2 linked regions of the Caenorhabditis elegans genome follow. The protein of the gene in region 2 interacts with the protein of the main gene of each other region in a biochemical or structural test. Each region holds a gene or a part of one and is shown on either strand. Other genes may lie near its edges.

Region 1 (5,607 bases), on a different chromosome or scaffold from region 2:
ACATTGGAACGGATGGAAAGAGGATACACAAGAGATCTGTATTTGAGATTAGTTGATGATATTAGACATGTTTTACCAAGTGAGTATGAATCACTCTTCAAACAAAACTTAATTATTTTATCAGGCGTCTCTCTGACAAGTGACTTCATTGCCGGATTCTGTGGAGAAACTGAACAAGCTCATCAGAACACACTTTCCCTCATTCGAGCCGTTCGTTATTCATTCTGCTTCGTTTTCCCCTACAGTATGCGTGGAGTGAGTCAGTTGCTGAAAATTGTTCCTATCAGATTATTTTCAGAAAACGCGAGCACATCATCGGTTAACAGACGATGTTCCAGAAGATGTAAAAGCAAGAAGACATTTAGATTTGACTACTGTATTTCGGGAAGAAGCATTGAAATTGAACCAAGCGCTTATCGGGTCGGAACAGACGGTTTTGTTGGAAGGAGTGAGTCATCTATAAACACCAATAAAATGAATTAAAATAATATTTTTAGAAGTCAAAAAGGGATGCATCATTTTCACATGGAAGGATCGATGGTGGTGTGAAAGCAGTGTTCGACAATTCGAAACTCTGTTTGGAACCTGGTCAATATGCAAAGATTCTGATCACCGACGCCAATTCGCAGACATTGAAAGCGCAACTCATAGGACAATCCAGCATCTGATCTATAAATATAGTTGAACCTTACACTTCATAGAGTAGTTATCTTTGTTGTTTGTTATTGTTAAAGATAAATCGTTTGAGTACACGAAAATGAATTTATTCAGAGCTCGTTCATTAAAATACAGAAATTCCCGAAGGAATAAAGAATAAATAATTGTTACTTGAACGGAGATCGAGGAGGAATAACGAGTGAATTGATGGGTTCGATTTAAATGTCTCCTCCGCGAAGACGAAGAACGAGATGAAGTGTCGACTCCTTTTGGATGTTGTAATCGGATAGAGTGCGTCCATCCTCGAGCTGCTTTCCAGCAAAGATCAAACGTTGCTGATCTGGTGGGATTCCCTCCTTATCCTGGATTTTGGCTTTGACATTCTCAATGGTGTCCGAAGCTTCGACCTCGAGAGTGATGGTTTTTCCAGTCAAAGTCTTGACGAAGATCTGCATACCTCCTCTGAGACGGAGCACCAAATGAAGAGTAGACTCCTTCTGGATATTGTAGTCCGAAAGGGTACGGCCATCCTCGAGTTGCTTTCCTGAAAAACAATAAAAATTAGTTTTAATTCTAAAAACAATATGAACTCACCAGCGAAAATAAGTCTCTGCTGATCTGGTGGAATTCCTTCCTTGTCTTGGATCTTGGCCTTGACATTTTCGATGGTGTCGGAGGCTTCGACTTCGAGGGTGATGGTCTTTCCGGTCAATGTCTTGACGAAGATCTGCATACCTCCTCTCAGACGGAGAACCAAATGAAGAGTAGACTCCTTTTGGATGTTGTAGTCGGAGAGGGTACGACCGTCTTCGAGTTGTTTTCCGGCGAAGATGAGTCTCTGCTGATCTGGTGGGATTCCTTCCTTGTCTTGAATCTTGGCCTTCACATTCTCGATGGTATCAGAGGCTTCGACTTCAAGTGTGATGGTCTTTCCAGTCAATGTCTTGACGAAGATCTGCATACCTCCTCTGAGACGGAGCACCAAATGGAGGGTTGATTCCTTCTGGATATTGTAGTCCGAAAGGGTACGGCCATCCTCGAGTTGCTTTCCGGCGAAGATCAAGCGTTGCTGATCTGGTGGGATACCTTCTTTGTCTTGGATCTTGGCCTTCACGTTCTCAATAGTGTCAGAAGCTTCCACCTCGAGCGTGATGGTCTTTCCTGTAAGAGTCTTGACGAAGATCTGCATTCCTCCTCGGAGACGGAGAACCAAGTGAAGAGTAGATTCCTTCTGAATGTTGTAATCAGAGAGCGTGCGCCCATCTTCCAATTGCTTTCCTGAAATAATAATAGTTGATTTGAGTTATGTATATCTATATAACGTACCGGCAAAGATAAGACGCTGCTGATCTGGTGGGATTCCTTCCTTGTCTTGGATCTTGGCCTTCACATTTTCGATGGTATCAGAGGCTTCGACTTCGAGGGTGATAGTCTTTCCAGTCAAAGTCTTCACGAAGATTTGCATACCTCCTCTCAAACGGAGAACCAAATGAAGAGTTGATTCCTTCTGGATGTTGTAGTCCGAAAGGGTGCGGCCGTCTTCGAGCTGCTTTCCAGCGAAGATGAGACGTTGCTGATCTGGAGGAATTCCTTCCTTGTCCTGAATCTTGGCCTTCACGTTCTCGATGGTATCGGAGGCTTCGACTTCGAGGGTGATGGTCTTTCCGATAAGAGTCTTGACGAAGATTTGCATTCCTCCTCGGAGACGGAGAACCAAATGAAGAGTAGACTCCTTTTGGATGTTGTAATCGGAGAGAGTACGGCCATCCTCGAGTTGCTTTCCGGCAAAGATCAAACGCTGTTGATCTGGTGGGATACCTTCCTTGTCTTGGATCTTGGCCTTCACGTTCTCAATAGTGTCAGAAGCTTCAACCTCAAGAGTAATAGTCTTTCCGGTCAAAGTCTTGACGAAGATCTGCATTCCTCCTCTTAGGCGGAGCACCAAATGGAGGGTTGATTCCTTCTGGATATTGTAGTCCGAAAGGGTACGGCCATCCTCGAGTTGCTTTCCTGAAAATATATAATAAATTTTAGGTCAAATATTAGATATTTTGCCAACGTACCAGCAAAAATAAGTCTCTGCTGATCTGGTGGAATTCCTTCCTTGTCTTGGATCTTGGCCTTGACATTTTCGATGGTGTCGGAGGCTTCGACTTCGAGGGTGATGGTCTTTCCGGTCAATGTCTTGACGAAGATCTGCATACCTCCTCTCAAACGGAGAACCAAATGAAGAGTTGATTCCTTCTGGATGTTGTAGTCCGAAAGGGTGCGGCCGTCCTCGAGCTGCTTTCCGGCGAAGATAAGTCTTTGCTGATCTGGTGGGATTCCTTCTTTATCTTGAATCTTAGCCTTGACATTTTCGATCGTGTCGGAAGCTTCGACTTCAAGTGTGATGGTCTTTCCAGTCAATGTCTTGACGAAGATCTGCATACCTCCTCTGAGGCGGAGCACCAAGTGGAGAGTAGACTCTTTCTGAATATTGTAATCAGAGAGTGTGCGTCCATCTTCCAATTGCTTTCCTGGAAAAAAATTAGTCTCTCATGAACAAAATTTGTTATATGTAACATACCAGCAAAGATAAGACGCTGCTGATCTGGTGGGATTCCCTCCTTGTCTTGAATCTTGGCCTTGACGTTCTCGATCGTGTCGGAAGCTTCAACTTCAAGTGTGATGGTCTTTCCAGTCAAAGTCTTGACAAAGATCTGCATTCCTCCTCTAAGACGAAGAACCAAGTGAAGAGTAGATTCCTTCTGGATGTTGTAGTCAGACAGGGTGCGGCCGTCCTCGAGCTGCTTTCCGGCGAAGATGAGACGCTGCTGATCTGGTGGAATTCCTTCCTTGTCTTGGATCTTGGCTTTGACATTTTCGATGGTATCGGAAGCCTCCACCTCCAGGGTGATAGTTTTTCCAGTCAACGTTTTGACGAAGATTTGCATGATTGCTGAAAAAATAGAAAATGAGTGCGAATAAAACTGGAATGAGGAGGCGAGAGAAGAGGTGATTATGAAAGAAAGTCCTAGAAAGTTGCGAAATATTACCCAAAAAATCGATACACTAGTAAGACTAACAAAGCAAACTTCATCCCCACTCGTCATAGGCAAGTCAAACGAAAAAAGAAAGGCATAAAAGTAAAATGGTAGTAAAGAGCTAATCGATGAGGAGTAATGTCCGAGTAGAGACAAGTGAAATGAGAATGGAGACAAGGTGGCACGCGAGCGGAGCGTTCTGGTCGAATGGGGTGTATGACTGCTGTATGCCCGCCTCAACGATCGATAAAACCCCCAACGCACGCGCACACTGACTCCGCCTTCCCCGAGTGTTGTTAGAGACGCAGATGTTCAGCTGATGTCCTCGTTTCTCTGACCGAAAATAACTACCAAGCAGTATTGCTAAAATGGGAAAATAATTCATATAACAACTGATTGAGATTATTCAAAAAAGCATGACATTTCTGTTGGTTTTACCCCGCTAAATCTTACAATTAGACAAAAAAAAAGAAACTCACCGTTTGGTAAACTGATTCTTGACAGTAATAAATTAAAGAGCGCCCAAAACGTGAATATTGAATCTACACGTTGAACTTTACTCAAACATTCTAATTAAACGACGCACGTATTATTGAAGGCCACAAAGTAAAAAATGTTGCTATGCTCACTTTCTGTTAGCAAGAAGTCGCCTATTACGAGAACCAGTGAGGAAGAGCAAGAGAAAGGAGGGGGGGGGGGGGGGTCGCTGACTCAAACGGCACTCTTTCTGCACAAGAAGAACATTCTAGAGTGCTGTGTAGGGAAAGAAATGATGAGGAAGAAGGGGACAATGTGTGCAGAGGGAATACAACGAAAATCGAACGGGGTGTTCTTTTTTCTCGTCATGCAACTGGGTCGACCAGTTTCTTTTCATCTTTAACTAAACGATAGAGAAATCATAGGCCTGAATAATAGTGACGTCTGTGTAAAGTATTGTTTCCATTTTTGTTACAGAAAATGATGAAACGAAGAATAGGAAAAGTGAACAGGGTCAGTTGTTCGTTTGACGCATATATAGGGAGAACATAAGAAAGAGCAGACGGTCAAGGACATTTTTTTATAATCTGCGACTAGCAGGAAAGTATGAATAATGTCCTAACGGCACCCGAACCAATTTTCAGACAGACGCGAAAGTGCTTGTACTTTGTACTGATGAACGAACGACAAAACAAGTGCAGTGAGAAAACGGGAGGACACTGGGGAGAATCATGTGAGCCCGTCATAAGACTAAAAGATGAGCTAGTGGCGATCAGGCGAAGGTTCAATACGACTATTGGGTCTTTTCAAGAGAGCCCCGGAAAACTAAATTTAAAAACATCAGTTAAGAGTACAACGAGAACAGGGAATGAGGAACGCACAGACTAAACATTAAAATTTTCCGATACTTTTCGAAAGTATTGCGAAATCAATAACAAAATACTTTGCTATGAGTTTTTTAAATGAAAACCGAAATAATGCAATTTTCTGAATGCTGGAAAGAGTGAAAAAGCGATACGAAAAAGCAGAGAGCAGCGAAAATAGCCGGCAACTCAAGATAATGAGAGAGCGCGAATGAATGAAGAAAATGATGGAAAGATCTGGAAAACAGAAACGAGCGGCAGAACGAATGCGAACGCGCCTTTCATGGTAGTGCGTGGCGGTTTCGTGGCGGGACCCAGGGAGGATTGCAGAACATGTTCCTTTAAATTAATTATTTATATTTTCATTGTAAATTTGTTTAAGAATACGAGAATTCTCGAATCCAGTTTGGAAAATATAATAAAAATTAAATGTTTTCAAAGAAAGATATCGAGACAGTTGCACATTAAACTTCCCGACAAAATCTATATTTAAATACGTTTTTCGAGTTTCTGATTTATTATGTGTCATGTTAAAATTGAAACATTACGCAATACTTTGAACTATGTTATTTATCATCAGAAAA
Region 2 (4,959 bases):
GTCGAGTTTCATGTGGACATTGCTATCCTGAAGATTACAATTATGGATGTAAGCTTTATTTTTAAAAAAATATTTTTATAATTAAAAAATATATATTTCAGCATGCGTCGACTACCATAGATCATGTGCCGGATGGGCTCGTGTCGGTGAATGTCAGAAAAATCCATGGATGGCTGAGAATTGTAGATCAAGCTGTAACAGTTGCTATACTCAATCAGAGCTTCGTAGAATGTGTGGAACTACAGCTGGATCAGTTGCTCCAGTTGCACAAGTTCGTCAGACTAATCCATCTCGTCAACCACCACGTGGAGGTTGGGGACGTGACGATTTCGGAGATAATGGAGGATGGGGTGGAAATGGAGGTGGTGGATGGGGAAACAATGATCCATGGGGAGGATCAAGATGGGGTGGTGGAAGAGGTGGATGGGGTGGAGGTGGATGGGGAGGCGGTGGATGGGGTAAACGATCCATTCGAGCAGCCAATGCATCAATTTCAATGCCATCTTTTGATCCGGACCTCTTGTAATTTTTGTTACCTTTTCTCAATTTATCCGATTATTTTCGTGTATAATAAATATTTGCCTCAAACTCAATAAAGAATTCATTTTTATCTTATCGAGAACTCGAGGAAGCAAAAGACTATACAGAAACGGGTGGCGAATCGAGAAAAATAAGTTAGAAGTGATCACAATATCAATGGAACTAGTTACAGATTCAAGGAGGAAAAGGTGATATTCACAACAAATCAAAAAGTTAATATTGTTGAGGCTGTGAAGACGGAGCAGGCCATTGTTGTTGCTGTTGTTGAGGTTGGGGAACAGAATTCGGTGGGCATGCGTACTGTGGTTGTGCTCCAGGAGCCGGATAGTGTTGTGGAGGATATTGTTGTGGCTGCTGTTGTTGGACAGGACCGGTAGGTGGGTAATATGCTCGGTTTGGCTGAAAAATACGATTTTTTGAATTGATAGGCATTACCGTGAAGCTTAGAATGAAAAATTTCAGTTTTCTAAATATTTTTTTCTGAATAAAAACTGACTGGTTGCTGATAGTTGTACTGTTGCATTGGTTGTTGGTACATTCCTTGACTTTGATGCTGAAATCCTCCCTTCTGAATCGCATCATCATAAAGTGCGAGCACATCACGAATAGCCACATCGATTTGTGCTAGAGAGTTGCTCTGTCGATCAATACTAGCCAAATGTGCATCAATGAGATTTCCTTGAGCATACGAGGCGGCTTCTAGTTGGGCCAAATCCTCTGGATCCTGTCGTTCACCGGTAGGATCACATTCATGGAGTACTTGAAGACAACGAACAAGGATTGCTTCATTAATTGAGGCTACAACTTCTGGGGCTTTCTGTGATGAATCCGTCTCTTTTGATTTTAGATCATCGAGTTGATTAGTAACGAAGCTGGATGGGAAAAGTCCCTGTTGGGTACCAATACGACCAGTCCACCAGTGGGGATTGCTGCAAAAAATTGTTTTTTTTTTGATAATTGATAGAAGCAGTCAGTAACGAAAAGGTTCGGTATGATTAATTTTAAATTACAAAAAAAAAAACTGAAGAACTTCCTGATTTGATTTTTAAGCGATTGCTTTCAATTTAAACTAGAACACATTTTTGTTGCTTACCTTTCATCAGTAATTGTAATAATATCTCCAGCAACAAAAGATAATTCATTGCTTTCAGCAGCCTCAAAATCGTATAACGCTCGAACATTCTTTTCCGGAATATTCGAATTAGTCTGAACTGCTGGACTACTTGCTTTTGCTGATGGATACATTGTGGATGTTGATTTTTTTGCTTTTTCCTGTTTCTCTGCATCCGCCAATGAAGCAGCAATGGCTTTTGCGATTGCTTCTTCTTCCTGAGCAGATCCAACCTATAATAATTATTAATTTTTGATATTTATTGCCGCGAACTTCCACAACTCACATAATTCGGATCATTTGCAAACTTTGCATCAATCGCTTTCGTTTTACTTTTTGGATCATCCACAACAAATGAGTAGCCATCAGCAACAAGATTTTTGTGAAGAGTGACGATAAGTGACAGTGATTGTTCAGTTTTGCATTCTGTATCCACCCATTTTTGAACAGTTAATCGCATTTTTTCAGCAACTTGGCGTTGACTCTATAATAATTGTAAATTTTTGTATTTTTTTTTGTAAACGCGGTGAAATGTATCGTATTTTCGTATTATACTTATTTTTCTAACTCTATTTCTCTTTTTTATCTCTTTTCTGCGTATACTATATCTATTAAAGAAATACAAAACTTCATGAAAGAAATTTTGATATTTTGTTTAACAATTTCAGATTTAAACAAAAACTCACCGATGTACAAAGAGCTTTGAGTTCATTGATAAATTGTGCAGACGATACTTCCTTTCTGAATCTTTCTTCACAGTTTGCCCAACACGAATCAAGTACAGAAATCGCTAGAAGGACAACATGAGGATCACGATTGTTGAGACGTTTACGAAGTGATTTGATTCCTGTTTTCGATCCCTCGAAGTCGTTATTAATCTGAAAATTTTAAACTAAAACATTAAGTTTAGTCCAAAATCAATGATTTTCGGTGAAAATCAGCTAGCAAATTTAAGGAGGAAATTTTAATTTTAAAATATGATTTTTTATCAAACGACAAAGAATTCTATCTATAAATCAGTGAAAAGGTTTATACATTTTTTAAAACAAATTGAACGAACCATATCACAAAATGCGAGAATTCCCTCCCAATTCTCAACAGTGATAGTTGGAGCAGTGATTTTTCCGAGCAAATCCTCATAAGCAGACATTGGAAATGACTTTTGTTTCTGAAAATATAAAAAAGGAATATTACGAAAGAAAATTGAATCAATAACGGGTTTGCTTGTTGAATGTGTTAGTCGGGTGAACTGAAAGAGAGAGTGTAGGGGGATGAAGAGACATTAGACGGGTTAAGACACTGACGCATATGCTTTGTGTGTTCGTTCGTGCACACTTTTTTCTATGTTTTTGTTTTGTTTTCTTCCTTTCCGAAAACTTAATCATTTTTTACTGAATGAAAAAAAATCTATTTGAATGAACAATTACTCTTAACACTATTTTTAATTAAAGTAGAGATAGGAAAACGAACAAACCTTCATTGTTACAGCAGACTTTCAGCACGTGATCAGGTTCAATTGAATGAGTCTCACTGAAACTGAATATTTATTTCGAAATAATTTTCAAAAGCGTGATATTTAAAATATTGAGGGCAAAGACGATCGATATTCAATTTAGTTTGAGCAATTTGTTTATTTTTTCGAAAAAATGAATACTTTTGCCTTTCGCAATCGCAGATTTTCGAGAACTTGCGTCTCACGCGTGTACCAATCACATTCATGCGTTTAATTGAAAAAAAAAACATTTTAAAACTGCAATGCACATTTTTATAGAAAAATTAAATAACTTTCGAGAAAAATTAAATTCCAAAGAGAAGAAAGATTGTGGAATAATTCAAAAAAAATGATCTGAACAACTGTAGAATTCGTGGCAGACCCTCATGCTACAAATCGCGCGCTCCTTTAATCTTTCAAATTTTTTTCTCTGTTTAAACATGTTTTTTTTTAATTTTCAGTGTCCATGCTTTTTCTAAACTTTTAAAACTAAATGTTACTCAATAATTAGTTCAAAATTATTAAAAGTAGATTACTGGGACGTTTTTAATGTTTTTTCCTAAAAAATAATACTTTAGAACCTGAAAACGCTTCGTAACAAAATGTTCAATTTTTCGTTTTCAAAAAAATTTGTTCAGACTTCTATTTATTCCATTCATATTTCTTACTTCTCATCGTAATAGAATTTTTAAAAATTGTTGAAAAAAAATCCAAATCCAAATTGTTTATAAGCACAATTGTTTGCACTTTCATTGTTGATTCCACCTGCTTTTCGTTCTTTTCTCTCTCTCTCACCACTCTTCCACTCTGTGTTCATATAAATTTTCATTTCCGTTCGATTCTCTTCACCTAATTCGTCAAAAAGGGGCCCAACAACAGCCACAAGCGGTAGCTGCTGCCGATAGCGAGCCATAAAAATACATCGAAAACGACACGAAACATTATCGATTTAGTTATTTTTTCTATCTAGAGCCAATTCATATTTTTCTATCTAGAGCCAATTCACACGAATTTTTGCATGTGCTTATCAGTTTTTCGACGAAATTTTGTAAACTTGGCGAGTTGATATAGATTAATCAGTGTAATTTGTCCTGTGTACACTGTCTAGAGTTTCCATGTTTGATTTTTTTCAAATTTCAAGTTTGTGGTTTGCAAATAGCTTTGAAATTTTACTGAATGTTCTAGTTTTTTACTAACTCATTTGAATTTTGTAATTCAATGAAATTATATAAGTATTATTCTGGATCGGTTATCAATTTAATCGAAAAAGACGAAAAGTCAATCGACTTGATCATGCAATCCGCGCAAAACTGGTCTATGGCATGCGTAATACAACACATAATGTTCATCACCAACCCCGTGCCTCCCAAAATACACATTGGTACTCATTTTACTCACAAAAACTTTCATAACTTCTTTCTTTAAAGTTATATTTTATTCTTAGTCTTCTATATCGAAATTTTTTTTTGAAATTCGGTTTTAAACCTTAATGGTTTTAATTATTAATTAAAGTTAAAAGTGGACTACGACTAATGGGGAAATTATTAAAAACTATTCATATGCTGTTGAAATTACCGAATCTCGTTATAAAGATTTTCAAAAAATTTTGGAATTTTTTATTTCGAGTCAAATTTGAAAAATCTAAATCACTGTCGCATGTTTGAATCTCCACAATGTTGGAATATAAGTATTTTAAACATAATTAAGTCAAAAAATCGAAGAAAAATTCCATAATTTCCAAATTTTTTGACAATTTTATTATGACATTTAGTCATTTGGTCACAGCATAGGAATTATTTTACACATTCCCCACTGG

The links.
Region 1: the proteins of stam-1 (region 2) and ubq-1 form a complex in vitro, tested with the Caenorhabditis elegans proteins (one study listed by BioGRID).

Annotation. Positions count from the first base shown.
Region 1 is NC_003281.10:5,938,977-5,944,583, reverse strand, and holds ubq-1 (Ubiquitin-related), read right to left. Parts: upstream 3,599-5,607; 5' UTR 3,594-3,598; coding exon 3,227-3,593; intron 3,177-3,226; coding exon 2,721-3,176; intron 2,668-2,720; coding exon 1,984-2,667; intron 1,936-1,983; coding exon 1,252-1,935; intron 1,202-1,251; coding exon 876-1,201; 3' UTR 757-875; downstream 1-756. Other genes in the region: F25B5.5 (CDK5RAP1-like protein), read left to right, coding at 1-79, 125-255, 299-448, 498-668. UniProt on the Caenorhabditis elegans protein: Ubiquitin exists either covalently attached to another protein, or free (unanchored).
Region 2 is NC_003279.8:5,901,509-5,906,467, forward strand, and holds stam-1 (Signal transducing adapter molecule 1), read right to left. Parts: upstream 3,188-4,959; 5' UTR 3,132-3,187; coding exon 3,126-3,131; intron 2,820-3,125; coding exon 2,712-2,819; intron 2,530-2,711; coding exon 2,338-2,529; intron 2,136-2,337; coding exon 1,938-2,135; intron 1,885-1,937; coding exon 1,634-1,884; intron 1,470-1,633; coding exon 1,037-1,469; coding exon of another isoform or gene 1,007-1,036; intron 940-1,006; coding exon 754-939; 3' UTR 597-753; downstream 1-596. Other genes in the region: tyr-4 (ShKT domain-containing protein), read left to right, coding at 1-48, 102-526.